3 linked regions of the Arabidopsis thaliana genome follow. The protein of the gene in region 3 purifies or fractionates together with the protein of the main gene of each other region. This does not show direct contact. Each region holds a gene or a part of one and is shown on either strand. Other genes may lie near its edges.

Region 1 (4,902 bases), on a different chromosome or scaffold from region 3:
TAAGCCTAGAGTAAGGTCGGGTTGGGGACATGGCGGGTAATAATGGCCGAGCAACAGCAAGGAGTTAGTGCAATCCATGTCCTTGAGGTGATTAGTGTTTAACCCTAGAGCTTCCGAGAGAAGCTCGAAGAGTAATTTACCCAATTTCATCACTTCCTTTGAGTACTCAATCATCATCTCCCTGAAAAAATGTCCACCAAAATCTTTAAGACACACTAATGAATAATGGGGGCGTAAAAATCTTCAACGAAATCCTAGCGCTTATAACTATTTGAATAAGTTATTATTGGATTTATGTATTTCAATTGTTATAAAAATTTGTTAAAAAAGAAAACGTATTATTGGATTAATATTCGTCTAACGAGTAGTGAAACACTATTCGACCATATATAATTTCTTCGGACCGAGGAACACAACATGTTACAAAAGCAAAAATAGTCAAACTCGTAATTTAACAAATTTGGAAATCTTACCCACAAGTGGCGGGTAAGTCCTCCGGTCTCGGGGGATCTGGTGCTGTATAACAACCAAGTGTATCTCTCCAATTCGCCGCCGGTGAGCTAAACAGATCGAAGTTGCTGCTGTATACCATCTTACTAGCTGGATCTCGAGAGTAAAACCCTTTCTTCACTTCAGTGTCTTGCTCGTGAAACTCACGAATCCCATCTATCATCTTCTCCAACACATCCATCGGGATCCCGTGGTTGATCACCTGGAAAAATCCCCATTTCTCTGCCGCGTCTCCGATCTTCTCCACCAAGCTCCGCCGCGTGATCGAGTCCGTGCCACCTCCTTTGAGATCGATTGTGGGGATGGAGAAATCAGAGGAGGAAGGTGGTTTTGGACTTGTTAAAGTAGCCGGAGGTGCACGAAATATCGAAGGAATCTCTGTGATTCCGGCGTCGATAAGGCCTTTCACGCCGGTTTTAGTCTCGTCGAAAGCTTTGAGTAGAGTTGAACGATCAAGTGCAGCAACTTGGGGAAGTGATGACTCCATTGCTTTTAGCTGAAAATGCAATTGCCGTTGGTTTGAAGTTGGATCTTAATACTACAAGTTGTCAAAAGTTTCACGAGTCAACGACGAAGATAGATGAGAAGAAGTACATGTCTTAGTTAAATTATTCACGTTTCCCACGTGGGGAAAAACCGGGACAAGAAAAAATAATGATAACAAAAAATAGGAAAATGGAGATGCGGGGTATCGATCCCCGTACCTCTCGCATGCTAAGCGAGCGCTCTACCATCTGAGCTACATCCCCGATGACGAAAATGTACAATTGGTCAAAATAAATTAATATACGAACTATACTAGTATCATATTCAACAGCTCATTTTGTCACGTTTATATATTGTATATACAATAATTTTTGTTATTATTTTATTTTTGGCCATCAGCAAGACCTTTTTAAAAAATCGCAACAATAATATTATTCAAGTATTCGGATAGTGGCTCTCGCGTCGAAATGTTTTGGAAGCCTGCGTCACTATCATGGTTAATGGCAAGTTGGCAACAACTACATGAGGTAATCCTTTGTCAAAAATAAATAAATTGAAATCTCTGATAAAAAGATAAAATATAGATTCTGTTCTAATACGATATTTAGTCGAAACTAATAAAAGAGTATATACGAACTTTTTAATGTCTTTGTAATTTGTAAATTCCGTTGTAGTTTTGTAAATTTAAGAAAGTTTTGTTGCCCCAAAAAAAAACGAAATTAAAAAGGAAGTTTTATTCGTTTGATTATTAGTTTATTTAGCTTCTTTTATTTCACCTTTGGGCCTTACACATCAAATCAAACTTAAAAGTTAAAAGGAAAACTTTGGGCCTTGGCCTCTGGGTTATATACTCTTAAGGCTTAACCCGACGGCGGTCAACTACCGGCCTGAAATAACCGGTTTTTATTTTTCCTTTGTTTCTCTTTTCAAAGTGCTCACTTTCCCGGTGACTCTTTAGTCAAAATTTCAAATTAATTCCTCTAAGGTGCCCTAATCCCGGCTGCTCGTCGGGGGAAAATAACCCGGCAGGGATTGAGCAACAGCGTGAGTCCCAAAGTGAGAGACAGTGTGAATCCCAAAGTGAGAGAGTGAGTGTTTTAGCGACAGAGAGATATGGCCGGATTAACGAGAACGGCCGGTGCTTTTGCGGTAACTCCACACAAGATCTCCGTTTGCATTCTCCTGCAGATATACGCTCCTTCCGCTCAGATGTCTCTTCCTTTTCCTTTCTCTTCCGTTGCTCAGCACAACCGCCTCGGCCTCTACTTGCTCTCTCTTACTAAGGTTTCACTCTTCGATTTCTCTCGAATTGCAATATCTTGTAGTTTTTTGAGGTTTAATTCAGCAATGTCTTTTGATTCTTCTGAGTTTCCTGGCCCGTCTCTCATACCCGAAGTTGTATCGAGTTTCTTTATTGCATTTCTTAGAGCTTCTTTGCTAATTTCTGAGATTGATTTCAGCGATGTCTGTTGTAACGATTTCACGGCTCAAAACTCTTGTAACTTATGTTGATTTCATGAGTGAATAATGAATTTGCTGGTTTCGTGTGCTAACAAACTGTTCTTTTCCCTGACGAGATTGATATTCATGCTGCAGTCTTGCGATGATATATTTGAGCCGAAGCTGGAAAAGCTCATCAACCAGTTGAGGGAAGTTGGTGAAGAGATGGACGCGTGGCTAACTGACCATTTAACTAATAGATTTTCCTCTTTGGCTTCACCAGATGATCTATTAAATTTCTTTAATGACATGCGAGGTTAGCTACTTGCTTGCTTAAGGTCTGTTTTTTCTTCTTTTCCATCATGTTTGACTCAAATTAGTTATCATTTCTTTGTATGTAGGAATACTTGGGAGCCTTGATTCAGGAGTCGTGCAAGATGATCAGATTATTTTGGATCCCAACAGCAACTTGGGAATGTTTGTTCGTCGTTGCATTTTGGCATTCAACCTTTTATCGTTCGAGGTATTGAGCTTTTTACGTTTGTGTTATTCTTGTTTTATTTTGAGACTGAATAATATTAATATTATTCAACATGACGTGTAGTTTGAGGTTTTGCTTGAAGGACGCGGATTTGTTAGCTTTTTCGTCAGCCACTTAATTGTGTCTAAACATCTATGTGAAGTTTGTTTGTTTCTTGACCCACTACAATGGAGTACTTGTCTAGGCTAGACTTAAATGTAGACGCATGTATAGGTACATTAAAATATGATATCTAATGGCAGAACTCTGGCTGGTCTGGTTGAAGTGTAATATCTAGCTGTAGTGTTCTTGATTGCTGCAGAAACACATAAGTGAATGTTTGAAAGAACCGTCCATTTCATTGATATGTGCAGGGAGTTTGTCATCTTTTTTCAAGTATTGAAGATTACTGCAAAGAAGCCCATTCAAGCTTTGCTCAGTTTGGTGCACCTAATAATAATCTGGAGTCATTAATACAATATGATCAGATGGATATGGAGAATTATGCAATGGATAAACCAACTGAAGAAATAGAGTTTCAGAAAACTGCTAGTGGAATTGTCCCTTTTCACCTTCATACACCAGATTCACTTATGAAAGCGACAGAAGGTATCCCTTATGGTATTCACCCAATTCAGAGAAAACCTAGAGTTTTTCAGAGTCTCAGGTGCTAGAAAACTATGAGGAAATAGAGTTTTATATTCATGATCAGGCTGCAATTTAGCTGCCACTTTTCTCATATATGTTTGGTAATGTATTTTTGCTGATGATTAGCATCAGTCATAGGATCAACGTTTTATCAAAGTCTTTCGATGTGTTTGTATGAAGCTTTTTCAGACTTTTCTTTTTTAACAGTTGGGCTTCTGAAGATATTTCCCTTTTTCCCTTTTGTAATGTAGAAACGATCTACTAAGAAATTAATTTTGTCGGTTTTTTATATTTTTGTTTCATTCTTATGCTTTGACACTCACTTGTCTTGTAAGGATCTCAATGTTATAATAATGCACAGAACACATGAAACATTGCAGGTTTGCTACATAATAGGAAGGAAACATCAAGGACCAGCAAGAAAGATACAGAAGCTACTCCAGTTGCTCGTGCCTCAACAAGTACACTTGAGGAATCTCTGGTAGATGAGTCATTATTCCTTCGGACAAATTTGCAGATACAAGGCTTTTTAATGGAACAGGCCGATGCAATTGAAATGTAAAGTCTCTTTTTCCTTAGTATTTATATATTTCTGTCATAAGTATTGCTAGTTTTTAAACTTTCCATCCCCTTGTAATTTGATGTCAGCCATGGAAGTTCAAGTTCATTCTCTTCAAGTTCCATCGAAAGTTTCCTTGATCAGCTTCAGAAATTAGCCCCTGAACTGCATCGTGTAATGTCTTGCAATTTTGTATTTTATTTTCAGTTAAATCAGAAGTTAATCATTCTTTCAGTGCTTTGATTCTTACATCACGACATGCAACAATGCAGGTTCACTTTTTGCGTTACTTGAATAAACTTCACAGTGATGACTACTTTGCTGCTTTGGATAATCTCCTCCGTTACTTTGATTACAGGTAATCTGTACTTTTTGCTAATTTTCTCTGTTTCCTAAAAATTTATGTTAAGAATAATATTACTGCCGAAATCGTTTATTGTTTGCATGTGACTCCTGTAAATATCCAGTTGTGTTTGCCTGTTAGATATTTGGCACTAGGAACGTTGTTTCAAACATGAGCTGATCCATGATCCATTGCCTTAAAGTGCAGGGACTGAGGGATTTGACCTTGTTCCTCCTTCAACTGGCTGCAGCATGTATGGAAGGTACGAGATTGGTTTGCTATGTCTGGGAATGATGCATTTCCGATTTGGGCATCCTAATCTGGCTCTAGAGGTGAGAATTCATTCTCCCGAGAGCTTCTATAGCTAAAAACTTGTTCTTGACGTTTAGAATCGTC
Region 2 (7,835 bases), on a different chromosome or scaffold from region 3:
TGCTCAACATTCAGAGGGTAAAATGTTTATAACAGTATGTTACCTTGCGACCTCCTGTATATAAATAGTTCCCATCCTTTGAAAACTGGACCTAAAAGCCACCAAAAATTCGATCAATAATTGGATCATATCCCAATGGACAAAAATAAGGCACATTTAGTGGTCAATGCTTACATGTGTAACACCGCCTTCTTGACCATGTAAAACATACAATAGCTCCATGTTGTCTTCTCTATAAATCCCAGTAGTTTGCCCGTAAGACCCCACAGCCAACATTCCAGAATTAGTTGGGGAGAAAGCAAGAGTAGATAATATACCTGGAAATTATGAACCAGTTAAGGTTGTTCTTGTTTCTGTATAATCTGTAATAATATTGTTATGCAGCGTCTGAGTGGAAAAGAAAGAAAAAAACCTGCTTGGCCCTCTTTGTTTTTCTGTAGAGTTGAATACTGCCTAAAATCTCTTCCAGGACGATGAAGATCAAACACTCTGATGGAGCTGTTGTAACCAGCAAAGATCCTAAAGACATAACACAGGCAAATGAACATAGACCACTTTTAATCAATTCTTTACCGTGTGGGAAGATGGATACAACTTAGATGAAGTTTTTGCTTACTTGGTTCCATCAGGATTGAATCCAACTGAAAATGCAGCAGTTATTTCATCCATAGCATCATAGGCCCGGTATGTGCATCGAAGCTGACATTGTGTTATTCACATGTAAATAAACAAAAAAGGATGGTAGAAAAAATCTCCAGTAAACATGTTAAGTTTCATGGAAAAAATCAGCACCTCACCAGAAGTACTATCCCAAAGATGTATCGGATGGTCTCTAGTGGAGGTAGCGAAGACGCATGTTAAAGGGTCTGATATCAATCAGTGAACAGCCAAAATCAGTAATTCAACTGATGAAATCATTAAGCCAAAAAATTGAACCCCTTATGATGAGCTTATCTATTACCTGAAACTGACATGTATGGATACCAACAGAAATCATAGACAGATTCACCCTCATTCACTAGAAGACTCGCACCATACGAATCTACAATTCCAATAAACACACCATGAATCACAAAATTACTTCACACATATTTTACAGCATTTGCCACAACATACAAATGCTAGATGGAAAAGCTAACCTTCTTCAGGGACTGGCACTCCATAGCCATTAGAATCCCCTCCATCTTGTGGCCTGATGGGGCAAATTTGCAAAACTAAAGATTCAACAGAGAACTAAAACTACACAAACATACAAAATTATTGATACTTAAGCTACAAAAATATTTCAATTGAAATTATTCAACTTACAGATGAAACAGACTAAGTGTATTATCTTCAGAGCTTGCAAGGAAACATGAACCATCAGGTGACCTATATAAGAAACAGTAACAAAATCAGTACCTCAAAAGTTAGGCAAAAAGAAAAAACCAAACTTTGAGAAAGAACAAAACTCTACTCAAGAGATTGATTTGAAACAAGAAGAAAAGGGTACCACTTAAGACCCTTGAGGAAATTATTAGGGTTTCGAGCTGTCCTGAACTGCTTAGAGAAATGGTGCGTTCTATAAGGAGAGACATCAAATCTCATAGTAGGCCAGGATGATTTTTGTTCTCCTGATTCTACCTTAAGTCCACCATTTTCTTCTGCTACTGCTTCTTCTTCACCCATCTTCTTCGTCAGAGCTTCTGGAAAAAAGCAGCAGAGAGAGGTTTACTTTCGTTCTAAACCCCAGTCAAAATCTCCAAAACCTGAACCAGGTTTTCAATCTCAGACCGACAAATTGAACCGAACTTAAACCAAAAACCGGATTAGGGATTTTGATTGGAATTTGGAAGAAAAGCCCGCCAGGTTTGTCATTAGTGCGTCTCTCTCTTCTCCCGGCGGATCGGCGAATCCCGGCGACCACCGTCTTCTTTCCTTTATCCACTCTCTACAGCTTTCTTCTCAAGTGTTTCTCTCTAGTTACTTCCTTCCTACAGCTTTGCTAGATATTGAAAATTAGAATATTAACCCCTAATCCCAAAAACCTCGGAATGTCGGAAATGGCGAGTGACGAGGAAGAAAATATCATTCCTTTCCAGCTCCAGTTCGACAAGCCCATACCTTTTCAGGTTTTGGTTCTACTCCTGCTCAAAGTTCGTGTCTTTTTTATGCTTTTAAGGATTTAGATGTTTATATATGTTCAATTTCATTAGATTAAGATAGCTGAGTGGAACCCGGAGAAGGATTTACTGGCAATGGTTACTGAGGACTCCAAGATTTTGCTGCATCGGTTCAATTGGCAGAGATTATGGACTATTTCGCCTGGTAAAGTTTCTCTCTTTTGTTCACTTTGTTTGATTTAAAGTAGACAATTTTGATTACAAGATGGTTTGTGATTATTGTATTCCTTAACTTTCAGGCTTGATGAAAATTCGTTTGTGGAACTTAGTTATTTGCTGAAATTGAAAGTGGAATGCAATTTGAAGTAGGTTGTCAATAGTTCTGGTACTAAGTGTATTTCCTTTCTTTTGGTTTATAGGAAAGCCTGTTACTTCTTTATGTTGGCGTCCTGATGGCAAAGCCATAGCTGTTGGGCTCGAGGATGGAACCATTTCACTTCACGATGTTGAGGCAAGTATAGATTGAAACTAATCCATGTTTTACATGATGACGTTGTTGATAGCCTAAATATTCCTTTTTAAACTTTGCTGTATAGAAACTAGTATTATGTTTTATTTATAAAGGATCATGCTGATCAAAAAGTTGGTAATACTCTTTTCATGCAGAATGGGAAGCTATTAAGGAACTTGAAGCCCCATGATGTAGCTGTCGTGTGTCTTAACTGGGAGGAGGATGGACAATCCAATACTGTATGTTTTCTCCTCTGACTAGTTGTACAAGAACTCATGTTTGGTTGCGGTATCTATATTTGTGTTGACAAACTGAGAAAGTTTCTTTTACCAATCCCAGTTGAAGCATCTATTCTCTTAGTTTTTTTTTTCACACCCAACTCTTATAGTTATTTGAGCTTGTGCTTACTTTTTCTTAGAGTTTGGTTTACAGGATGAAAGTGGTAATTTCTCAGTTTATGAGGACCGGACCTCCCGTTTTTTTCCTCCTGCTCCAAGACCTCCAAAGATGCCTGGACTGGTAGCTGGTGACTCCAGTTTCATGGATGACGGTGAAGACTCTTTGGCAGAGCTATCCAATACCTCATTCCGGAAGTTTAACATTCTTTGCACTGGTGATCGTGATGGGAACATATGCTTCAGTATATTTGGAATATTTCAGATAGGAAAGATTGTAAGTCGCTCTTTTGACTGTAAGTAATTAGTAAGCCGTAATTATCCATTCATGTATTATGGTTGATGATGCTTCATCATCTTTCCATTCCGCTTGCATATAGAATTGCAGGATGCTTAATGAATTTCAACACTATTTCTACATGGAAATTATTTTCTGAGATCCTTAATTGTTCGTTTATAACAAGTAATTAATATTGTTAGGAGTAAAGTTTACGGTTTGTAAGTTTCTTATTTCTTTTCTAGCTATGAGCAATATTCTCTTAGTATAATTTTAATTTAAGTCTTCATTTCTCTTGTTTCATGTGTTTGCTCTGCTGCTCTTGCATTACCATGATCAGAACATACACGAGCTGTCTCTTCCTGTGCCTCATCTCGATGAGCATGCCTCTTGCAAACTATTTAATGCTTCCATTTACAAGGTACTTGGATCCTTTCAAGAGCCACGCTTTCCAAATGATATAAATGGCCTCTCGTTATTTCTCATGTCTCAGACTGTTAATGTCTGTTGTGGAAACAAAGAAAGGAGAGCTTGGTAGATGATAAGGAGTCTTTAGATTCAAATTAATTATTTGTATATTTCATTTCTTAGGTTGCTCTGTCAAAAGACCTTTGCCGTCTGGTAGTAATGTGCACAGGAGAGCTTAAGGATTGTGATATCAAGCCAAGAGAGGAAAAAATAAATGTTCAAGATCTGCCTGGTTTACATTGCCTTGCAATGGACACATCTATATTTTGGAAAAGGTAATACACCAAACCTAGCTATACTTTGCCGCTGCTTCTTTCTTTTGTTCCTTCTCATTGTTTTAAATCTTGATTTTAATAACCTTTAATAATTGGCACTGTTTTTCTGCCTTACATCTGTCATATTCGTTATCTCTTCTAATTTTTATCTCAGGAAATATGAGCTTCATCAGGTTGCTCAACAAGCTTCTAACATTGAAGATTTGACCGAGGTTATTCGAGCATCCCTGTCAGTTATGAACAAACAATGGGCGGATGCAATGAAAACTTTTCATGAAAAGTTTCATTCTCTTTCCACCTTGATCATTGATAATGGTATTTGTCACTATCAGTTTGTTGGTTGAGGTTTTTCTCTTATGCTTAATTGCTTATAGATTTACAGGGCTTTGTTGCTTTTCTACTAGGACTGGAATCATCTCCTCAAGAAGAATTTCTTAGCCTTTTGGGTGGTGCACGAATAAGCCCAGCGCTTAATCAGTTTTTAGTTAACTCTCTTGGCGAAGTGGTAAGCTTTACTTGTTTGATCTTCTTCAGGGTACTAGTTTTATCATATTCCACTAAGTAGTTCTCTTGTTCAGTAGGGTGTGAAGCGTGTTTTAAAGTCAGTATGTGGTACAGGAAAAGAGCTTCAGCAGGTTGTCCTTGACCATCTTCAGGTACAGTATTCTTTACATTCCTGAAAATGGAGTTATAGTTTTTAGACTAAGTAGCGTTTATTTATACAGCTAATACTTTTTAGATAGAGTTTTGTCACGAATTAAGCTTTCTTTTTCAGCCTGCAGCAGAAATTATCGGATTCAGGATAGGTGAATTAAGAGGTCTATCGAGGTGGCGTGCACGGTACCAAGGCATTGGTTTGGATGAGATGCTCCTTAATGAAGCCACTGAAAATACTGGTCTGCTACTTGTACAAGTGCAACGGTTTATGATGGTACTATCTTCTGTTGTCCAACAGGTACAGAGGCGTGCAGTTCTTTTGACACTGAAAATCATAGTTATTTAGTATGTTGGCTGTCCCATGTTTCCCACGCAATGGTCATTTCAATAGAATTATAAACTTTTTGTTTCAGTTCTCAAATTTCTTCAACTGGCTCGTCAGAAGTATAAAGTATCTTATGCAAGAACCGAATGATCAGCTTTTGTCATACAACAGGTATGCACATGTGTTTTTATGTTGTTAAAGGTGTTAAAGCCAAATCTTTGCAGTTACATGGTTTGTTTCTGTGGCAGTGAACTCCTTGTGGTATTCTTGAAGTTCTTATATGACCAAGATCCTGTGAAAGACCTCTTGGAGCTATCTGAAGCTGGTGATGACATTGAAATTGATCTGTAGGTCAACTCTTTCTATGTCTGTGCTTTTACCTACCTTTTCTGATCACTTATCTTGTAGTCGAGCAGAATCTCTGTCAGGTTACCTAAAATTTTTTAAGCCATTTATAACCACATACAATAGGGGTAGTCCAATGTGATAATACGAATGAAATCCGAGCAGGTTTCTCTAACCACACTAAAACGAAATTCAGATATGGGTAATGTGTGTGCGTTTGTGAAGCATGAAGTCCATTGTATCATCCCTAGCTGTTCATTCACTTTGTTTTACTTCATTTCATTTAAACTCTTAATGTTTTAATGTCCCAGCAAAACCATCGGAAGAGTCAAAGAGTTACTTCAGTTTGGAGGGTTTTCAGAGTGTGATTTTCTGCAGAGGACATTGGCTAAGGAATTCCAACACATGGAGTCTAGGTATTTTCTTTACATCTTCACTTCTTAAAACATAAAGTTTCTTAAAAATGCTGCATCATGGAGCACAACGTTGGTAAACTGATACGTGTAAAAGGCTATGGTAGAGACAAAGGTCCGATACCATGGCTGCCTTGGCATTTTGAAATACAACATGAACAACCATATTTATGGTATTGGAGTTTACTTGCAAAACAAAGTGTGCTGAGTCTTTATAATCTGGACATACTTTCTCATGGCTTTCTCTGACTAGACGTCAAATTCTGATTTTAATGCTTTAACAATTTTAGCTTCAAGATGGCTTTTCAAATGCCCTTTACAACAATATCAAGAAAGATATCATGTATGAAGTTGTTGCCTCTTTGCCCTCTTCAGTTGTCAACAACGCAAACACCTACAACAATTCCCATGTCTCTTTCCTTCTATAAGGTACTTGCAGCAACAATCTTAATGCACTTTATTATGATCCCATAGGGCATCCTTAGGAAGAGATTGCTGATTGCTATCTCCAAAGTCTTCATTTGCTCCTGATATACTAAAGTCTCTGTTTGCTTGTGCAGAATGAACTTTCTGATGATACACCTTGTCAAAGTGGGTACACTGATTACATATCTTTTCAAGTCCCCGATGAGACCTTCCCAGAGATTTCAAACTGTATTGGCATAGCTAAGGGTTATAAGCAGAATTCCAACAATGAGAAAAATGGTTATACTTCTCTGGAAGCCGTTTTGTTATCTGTACCTAATGGCTACACTTGTGTTGATTTGTCTCTCTACAAGGTGAATACTCATTCTCTTCTGCAACAATGGTTGATTTAATTGGTATATTTTTTCTTTTGGAGTTGCCTTGTAAATCCTGTGTCTGATTTTGAAACAGGATAAAGAACTGGTTTTATTATTGAATAAGACAAATACAGATTCCGAAGGCTCGGGAGAAGCATGCATGATGGTTGTACAAACTGGTGACCTCGCATTCATTTCCATTTCAGGATCTAGTTCTCTAAACCAGTGGGAGCTAGAGGATTTGAAGGTATTGCTAATTTCAAGCATTAACATCGACGTTTGTTTTAAAATTAGTGAAGTTTATGTAAGAACTTATGCATCTCCAGGGCTCGATTGTGAACCTGGAAATGGAGAATGAAAAGGTTCGCAAAGTACCACATTCTGTCATTGCTCCTCTAGCAGTAAGCGGTAAGAGCTTAATTTTCTGTCTTTTCTTCTTCTTCAAACTAGAAATGCTTTTTCAAAATCATGAAATAATTTGCTTAATTATTTAAAATTCTTACAGCTTCAAGAGGAGTGGCTTGTGTTTTTGCTGAAAGAAGACGAGCTTTGGTGTACATATTGGAAGAAGATGAAGATGAAGAAATCTCTGATGAAAAGTAAACCTCCTCCAATGCCTGCTTTGATTGTTGTTTGTGTAGATTATTAAAGTTAAGAAACAGAAACTTGACTACTTGAAGTTGTAAACGGTGACGTTTTGTTAGTTAATGACTTCTTCTAATGTCTGTATCAGTCTCTTCTTTTCACACTTGCGTCATAATTAAAGAGGGTTACGCCACGTCAGCTCAGCCACTCGACAGGTTAAAGCGCGTGGTTGTCACTTCCCCTTTGATCAGACAAAGCTGACCAAAAAGGTGGGTTTTTTCAAAGTCCATTCTTTATTCTTAGCTCAACTAAGGAAGCAAGACGAAATTCTCTCTCTTTCTCTAAGCTCTACGCCACCGTCACGGAGGTTGTCTTGTTTTGTCTCATGGAGAATGATCAATTCATGTGTCCGACTGATATAATCACCGGCATAGTGTTTATTGATGGTGAATTGGCTATGTTGACTTTGACTGCCGACGGGGAGTTACGGTGGACAGAGTATGGACTCCGGCAGTATTTGTCGATGAAGAAGGATGTTCTTGGTTTCATCGTCGAAGGTAAGCAGATTAGAGTAAAAGCCGTGGTTGAGAAAGAGGCAGGAGGAATCTGCTGCGGACAATTTGGTGGAGACTTCGTGAGGAAAGATTTCGTCTTTGAGCCTCTCATCGATCAAAATGGATGGTGCTATAAGCTTCGTCAA
Region 3 (6,761 bases):
TGAATACTCACATGTGTCTCTTATTTGGCTATATACTTCTTCAATTGCATTGAAGATATCTGAAGTAAACACATAGACACCACAGTTTATCAAGTCACTGACCTGCATTGAGTAGATAATTTAAGCTAAACAAATTTCAGAGCCTGTGAAGGAATTAAGAAAACAGGATTGTTTAGCAGATAATTACGAAAGTCTCGGGCTTCTCTGTATAATGCAGGAGTTCTTTAGTATCAGGATCAGCTATCAATTCACCAAATTGGCTAGCTGCTTCTGCAGAAACCTGAAGTGAAAAAGCGATATTCATGTTTATGTTTGATCTTTATGTTTGTTTCCTTAGTGACATCTAAAATAACATCAGGATAACGAACCTTGATTACTAGCATAGTTCCAATACCACCATATCTTCGATGTGCGTCTACGAAAAGTAGTGAAGTACATCAAAGTAAGAAAATGAAAACGATGAAGCAGATTAGCGATTTCAAAGGGAGATTACCAAGTATGCCTTGAAGAGGGAAAGAACAGCAAACATCACAGTTGAGGAGGAAAACATGTGACTGTTCAAAGAGACAAGAAATGGAAGATCAATCAGGAAAACAAATGACTGATGAGGCAGGAACTAAAGTTGGGAATTTCATCAGAAATCAAACCGGTTTCTCTTCCATAATTCTATCACGAAAGTAATAAAGAGCACCAGCTGAACCATGGGGTTTATCTTCTTTCAAGTATCTATATAACAAGAACATCGTTCAATTCTCGATTTCACATTACACACCAAAAACCAAAAACACAAATGCTACTACAACTTACCGCACTGGAATTTTCAGCTCGTTAGATATTGAAGACACATACAAAGCAAATTCTCGTTCCTCGTAAAATCCAATCAGAAAAATCTGAGCCAGATTTGATATCTGTCCATGCCAAATACAAAACAAATATAATATGATCAATCATCATTACAAAGTTGAGAACTTTCCCATCCTTTGAGCCTGAAGAAACTATGAAAAGTTCAAAACTTTGACACTACAAATCATACAACAACAAGAAAATATTCCAAAGTGTAGAGTACTAAAATGGAACAAACCCACATAAAGACAAACGATCCATGTCAAATCAAAACAAGTTATGAGCAATCCACATTTCAAAGTTGACAACTTTCACGACTCAAGCAATACCAAACTTTTCTCAGGGATCAAAAGCAAGAAATAGTAAAAAGAAGAAACCTTTTTACAAGCAGAGATAGGATGATGAATCATAGGTTGACCAGCCAAAGGAATCAATGGTTTCGGTGTATTGAACGATAACGGGCGAAATCGAGTTCCTAAACCAATCCACATTAGCAAAAACCCAAAACCAAAATCAAAAATTCATGTTTTGAAAATAGAATTTGAGATCCAAAAGAGAATGTTATACCTTTGGTCGGACCACCAACCATGATCACAGCGACGACTTTCTCCTCCGACATGTCGAGATTCAATAAAACCTAGATTCGTTAAAGTTAAACACACGACGATGATCTGATTTTGTATTGAAAGGTCGTATCTTTGTAGTCGGATATTCTCAAGTTTTTTGAACTAAAGTTGAAAAACAGAGTAATCAGAATGGAGCCTAATAAAACGTCTTTTTTAATTCCGTTTTGTTTTTGCGTTTGTTAGCGTTTTATAATTGCGTTTGTGAATGACCAAACTTTATGAATCTTCTTCTATAGCTTCTCTCTCTGAACTTCATCAATGTAAATTTCAATCTTTTCTTCATTAATGTGTTCCGTTTGATTTTGTTTCTTCAGTGAAATGAAATTGAGATTGGTTTCTGATTTTATCTTCTTGCCAGTGAAACCCTAGTAATTGTGATTTTGCTGGGCAAGAAATTAGGGTTTTAGGAGGTTTTGTTACTTACTCAAGAGTGAAAAAGATGGAAGCTTTAGGTTCCTCTGATTGCAATTTAGAGATTTTAGAAACTCTATCAGACGATGCGATTCAGGAGATTACTGAAAGCTATGATGGATTTTTCACTACTGTAGAGTCTCTCATTGCTGGTACTGGAGATTCCTTAGTTGAAGATGAGTTTGTGTCTCATGTGTATTGTCTCTGCAAGTATGGGCTTGATTCTCTTGTTCGTGATCACTTTCTTAGATCACTTGAGGTACTGAACATAAACGTCTTCCTTTTAGATTAAAGTTTGAGTCTTGGAGCTTTCTGATTGCATAACTGATTAGCTTGTACCACTTAGTAGCTGCTCTGTTGGTGTAGAGTAAAAGTGGAAGAAGTATGTTTGTTCTCTTATGATACATTTGTTTTGTTTCAGCAAGCTTTTGAGAAGGGAGGTGCATCGAGTTTTTGGCAACATTTTGATGCTTATAGTGAGAAGAAACATCATGTAAGAAGTTACACGCTTGGTTGATTCTTTGTTTGCTATAAAATATTCTGAAATTGACTTCTAGTTTTGACTAAAAATGAGTGCTTTTGGGCAGAATTATGGAGAGGAGATTCAGATAGTGTTATGCAAGGCTTTGGAAGAAATTTCTATTGAAAAGCAGTATCATGAGAAGTGTCTGTCCATAGTAGTTCATGCTTTGCAGTCGTTTAAAGAACAGTCGTCAGATGATAGACAGAACTCAGATACAGAAAGAGTTCATCTTTTTTCGAGGTTCCAGTCAATGCTGTCTTCAACTCTGATGACTACACTTCCTCAGCATTTTCCTGGTATACCCATCTTTGAAAGCTTGTTCTTTGTGTGATTTCTGATGTAGTTTGATTGCTTGGAAGTTTTATTTATACGTTTGCCACTTGTTCAATCATTACTCTCTTATTGTTCCTCTTTTTATTATGTTCTTAGAAATACTCCACTGGTATTTTAAGGAAAGGCTGGAGGAGTTAAGCGCAATCATGGACGGAGATGGTATTGAAGAACAAGAGGATGATTGCATGGATTTGGACGAGAAGTTGAGATATAAAAACGGAGAAATGGATGTTGATGAAGGCTGTTCCCAAGGAAAACGTTTGGGACATGACAAGTTGGTGAAGAACATTGGGAAGGTGGTCCGTGACCTTAGAAGTATTGGATTTACATCTATGGCTGAAAATGCTTATGCTTCTGCCATCTTTTTGCTCCTTAAGGTATTTTTTATGCATCAGATTATTCATCTGCCTCACAGAGAGTTATAACACTATATCTATTGTCAGTAACTTGTACCCTGTTTGGCAATGTTATACTGTAGGCGAAAGTCCATGATCTGGCTGGTGATGATTACAGGACTTCTGTTTTGGAATCAATCAAAGAATGGATTCAGGTAGTTTTTGCTGGTTAGATTTTCACTGCTCCATCAGATTAGTTTGGTAATTTGGAGATTCCTGACATCTTATTTTCTCTTTTCAGACAGTCCCTCTACAATTCCTTAATGCACTTCTTTCTTATCTTGGTGATTCCGTAAGTTATGGTACCACATCGTCTGGCCTCACGTCCCCTCTGGCTTGTTGCCCATCTCCAAGCTTTTCCAGAGTGGTGACTCCTTCTGAAGGAATTGTTCGGTGGAAATTACGGCTAGAATATTTTGCATATGAAACACTTCAAGATTTAAGGATTGCCAAATTATTTGAGATAATTGTTGATTATCCTGAGAGGTATTTTCTTTTCTGATGTTACTTTTTTATGCCCACATATCTCACTTGAGAGCCAATTTAAAAACTGCAAGTAGTCGAAATATCTTGCGTCTCTGATGAAAATTTTGTTGATGCAACAGTTCTCCTGCCATTGAAGACTTAAAGCAGTGTCTTGAATATACTGGACAACATTCTAAGCTAGTTGAATCTTTTATTTCTTCGCTGAAATACCGTTTGCTCACTGCTGGTGCCTCAACCAATGATATATTACATCAGTATGTGTCGACTATTAAAGCTCTTCGGGCAATAGATCCAGCTGGTGTATTTCTGGAAGCAGTGGGTGAACCAATTAGAGACTATTTACGGGGGCGGAAAGATACCATTAAATGTATCGTCACTATGCTTACAGATGGAAGTGGAGGGAATGCAAATGGTTCCGGAAACCCTGGGGATAGTCTTCTTGAAGAATTAATGAGGGATGAAGAAAGTCAAGAGAATGTCGGTTTTGACGATGATTTTCACACCGATGATAAGCAAGCCTGGATCAATGCTTCCCGGTATCCTTCCTGTTGTATATTTTCTTGATTATCATCTTGCTTCGCATTGGATTTGTCTGACACCTTTTAATGTGCTTTCACCTCAGTTGGGAACCGGACCCTGTCGAGGCTGATCCTTTAAAAGGTAGCCTCAGTCAGAGGAAGGTAGACATACTTGGAATGCTTGTTGATATAATTGGATCTAAAGAGCAACTAGTAAACGAATATCGTGTTATGCTTGCGGAAAAGCTTCTCAACAAGACTGATTATGACATCGACACTGAGATACGCACTGTTGAACTTCTCAAGGCAAGCTCCATTTTGTCCCTCTTAAGTTTGACTTGCCAAACTATTGGATTGTTTCTATAGTGTTGAATCTAACTTTACCTTCTCTTATTATGCCAATAGATACATTTTGGAGAAGCCAGTATGCAAAGATGTGAGATAATGCTGAACGACCTAATTGATTCTAAGAGAGTGAACACTAACATTAAAAAAGCATCTCAAACAGGTTATATTTCTCTCTTGTTCTCAATTTTACTCATGCAAGGTAGGTTCTTGTCTGGTTCTTTTACTTGGTATTTGTGTCCATTGCTTGTGTTTAGGCGCTGAGTTAAGAGAGAATGAGCTTTCTGTTGATACTCTCACCTCAACGATACTTTCAACAAACTTCTGGCCACCAATTCAGGTATTCATATGTTCTTCCCTCTGATTTTGTATCCATTATGTCATACGTAAAATATGAGGCGTATAGATTCTTGTGATCGCTTCCATTCGCTGATTAGAAGAGGAATTTCAGGATGAACCTCTAGAGCTACCTGGACCTGTCGACAAGCTGCTATCAGATTATGCCAATCGATATCATGAAATCAAGACCCCTCGTAAATTACTTTGGAAGAAAAATCTTGGCACTGTCAAGGTACATCTAGAATAAATACTTATAAGTGAAAGTTTCATGTTTTCGAGTATTGGGTAAATCAGATACTGACCTATGCATCTCTCTGAAATGGCTTGGATGGATTCAGTTGGAGCTGCAATTTGAAGACAGAGCAATGCAGTTCACAGTCTCACCCACACATGCAGCCATTATTATGCAATTTCAAGAAAAGAAAAGGTAAGTACAAGAATCAGTCAATATGGATATTTCCATCTTCCAAATTCACTGAAGTTATGTAATCTTTCAGTTGGACCTATAAAGATCTTGCTGAAGTCATTGGGATACCCATTGATGCATTAAACCGAAGAGTAAACTTCTGGATAAGCAAGGTATATACCGTAATTGTAGTCTCCTGCTTTAAACCAGTCATTTAGATGAAAAGCTTATTTGCAAGTTTTTCTGTACTTAGGGAGTTCTGAGAGAATCTACAGGAGCAAACTCAAATTCCAGTGTGTTAACGCTCGTTGAATCCATAACTGATTCTGGAAAGAACGAAGGCGAGGAGCTTCTAACAGGTGAGGAAGAGGGTGAAACATCAATTGCCTCTGTGGAAGATCAGCTTCGCAAAGAAATGACGATATACGAGGTATGTAAAATGCTTGGGAAACTTTTTCCTTCTCCAGAGATATACAAATCTAAACAATTATCAACCATGTTTTCAGAAATTCATCATGGGAATGCTCACAAATTTTGGTAGCATGGCACTAGAACGAATCCATAACACTCTCAAGGTAACAATCTGACATCAAACCTCACTGATTTTACAATATTATTTGTCTTGATCATTGATGATTGCTCTGTTTTTTTTGTTGTTTTGTTGTAGATGTTTTGTGTGGCTGATCCTTCTTATGACAAGTCACTGCAACAGCTTCAGAGCTTTCTTTCTGGTTTGGTTTCTGAAGAGAAACTAGAGTTTAGAGATGGTATGTATTTGCTAAAGAAGTAGATCAACTCTTTACATGTGTTAGACTAGCTAGAACTAATTTTGTCTATTGTTGTATCAATATCCTTTTCTTTTCTCAATTAAATCTCATATAGTTAGTGATAAACAATTACTACTTTTCTTTTTATTTTTCTTTGACTCCACAATCATTTCTTTAACCACACAATTATGTAATTAGAGATTGGCCATTTCTCCATTAGGGTAAATTATACAAGTTGTGATATTCTTTAGAGGTTCTTAATGATTTTGAGCTTTCTTATCAATAGCCTACTTAGGTTTAATGTATAATGTATTTGCCAGTTTTTATTGAATTTGATATACTGTTTAATAATAAAATTATCGATTTCTCTTTTATAAAGAGTATTTGAGAAACCCTGATAATAGTATTCTGAAATCCGCGAGCAATTAGTGCAGAACCGCTACACATTACTTATGTAAATAATTTATCGCAATTTTGACTTGTTTGAGTCCTAAATAATATCTGATGACAAAAAAAAAAAAAAAAAATCTGCGGGCAATAGCTGTAAACTAGTCTAAGTTAATCGCGATTCTGCAGGTAATGTAGCTTATTTGGTTAACAAAAAATCACAACAATATGATATCTAATTGAAACAACCCGACCCATTTTTTAAAAAAAAAATATAATTAAATATTCCCATAAATATCTAATTAAACCAACCAATAACATAATAATTAAACCGCAAGTCAGAAATACATTTTATGAATAAATAAATAATTCGATCAATAAA

Evidence for each region.
Region 1: the proteins of APC2 (region 3) and AT1G06590 purify together in Arabidopsis thaliana (affinity purification with mass spectrometry, with the first as the bait; one large-scale study listed by BioGRID). This does not show direct contact.
Region 2: the proteins of APC2 (region 3) and APC4 purify together in Arabidopsis thaliana (affinity purification with mass spectrometry, with the first as the bait; one large-scale study listed by BioGRID). This does not show direct contact.

Annotation. Positions count from the first base shown.
Region 1 is NC_003070.9:2,021,713-2,026,614, reverse strand, and holds the start of AT1G06590 (anaphase-promoting complex subunit), read left to right. Parts: upstream 1-1,865; 5' UTR 1,866-2,109; coding exon 2,110-2,280; intron 2,281-2,592; coding exon 2,593-2,752; intron 2,753-2,837; coding exon 2,838-2,959; intron 2,960-3,330; coding exon 3,331-3,565; intron 3,566-3,984; coding exon 3,985-4,162; intron 4,163-4,252; coding exon 4,253-4,337; intron 4,338-4,435; coding exon 4,436-4,521; intron 4,522-4,708; coding exon 4,709-4,838; intron 4,839-4,902. Other genes in the region: AT1G06620 (2-oxoglutarate (2OG) and Fe(II)-dependent oxygenase superfamily protein), read right to left, coding at 1-181, 474-997. UniProt on the Arabidopsis thaliana protein: Component of the anaphase promoting complex/cyclosome (APC/C), a cell cycle-regulated E3 ubiquitin-protein ligase complex that controls progression through mitosis and the G1 phase of the cell cycle.
Region 2 is NC_003075.7:11,448,710-11,456,544, forward strand, and holds APC4 (Transducin/WD40 repeat-like superfamily protein), read left to right. Parts: upstream 1-1,842; 5' UTR 1,843-2,033; coding exon 2,034-2,111; intron 2,112-2,195; coding exon 2,196-2,307; intron 2,308-2,521; coding exon 2,522-2,613; intron 2,614-2,768; coding exon 2,769-2,852; intron 2,853-3,045; coding exon 3,046-3,285; intron 3,286-3,625; coding exon 3,626-3,706; intron 3,707-3,876; coding exon 3,877-4,028; intron 4,029-4,182; coding exon 4,183-4,343; intron 4,344-4,432; coding exon 4,433-4,533; intron 4,534-4,609; coding exon 4,610-4,684; intron 4,685-4,803; coding exon 4,804-4,983; intron 4,984-5,098; coding exon 5,099-5,181; intron 5,182-5,258; coding exon 5,259-5,357; intron 5,358-5,666; coding exon 5,667-5,771; intron 5,772-6,058; coding exon 6,059-6,197; intron 6,198-6,328; coding exon 6,329-6,547; intron 6,548-6,644; coding exon 6,645-6,797; intron 6,798-6,876; coding exon 6,877-6,958; intron 6,959-7,055; coding exon 7,056-7,153; 3' UTR 7,154-7,298; and 1 more. Other genes in the region: AT4G21520 (Transducin/WD40 repeat-like superfamily protein), read right to left, coding at 44-91, 175-317, 413-519, 617-699, 793-866, 962-1,042, 1,140-1,192, 1,309-1,371 and 1 more; SPHK2 (Diacylglycerol kinase family protein), read left to right, coding at 7,521-7,835.
Region 3 is NC_003071.7:1,623,025-1,629,785, forward strand, and holds APC2 (anaphase-promoting complex/cyclosome 2), read left to right. Parts: upstream 1-1,605; 5' UTR 1,606-1,908; coding exon 1,909-2,139; intron 2,140-2,301; coding exon 2,302-2,373; intron 2,374-2,467; coding exon 2,468-2,699; intron 2,700-2,832; coding exon 2,833-3,113; intron 3,114-3,214; coding exon 3,215-3,286; intron 3,287-3,372; coding exon 3,373-3,617; intron 3,618-3,736; coding exon 3,737-4,153; intron 4,154-4,239; coding exon 4,240-4,441; intron 4,442-4,540; coding exon 4,541-4,643; intron 4,644-4,737; coding exon 4,738-4,820; intron 4,821-4,931; coding exon 4,932-5,051; intron 5,052-5,157; coding exon 5,158-5,246; intron 5,247-5,316; coding exon 5,317-5,398; intron 5,399-5,478; coding exon 5,479-5,655; intron 5,656-5,731; coding exon 5,732-5,800; intron 5,801-5,892; coding exon 5,893-6,015; 3' UTR 6,016-6,235; downstream 6,236-6,761. Other genes in the region: AT2G04650 (ADP-glucose pyrophosphorylase family protein), read right to left, coding at 12-102, 188-280, 369-415, 494-554, 648-726, 808-908, 1,221-1,318, 1,411-1,462. UniProt on the Arabidopsis thaliana protein: Component of the anaphase promoting complex/cyclosome (APC/C), a cell cycle-regulated E3 ubiquitin-protein ligase complex that controls progression through mitosis and the G1 phase of the cell cycle.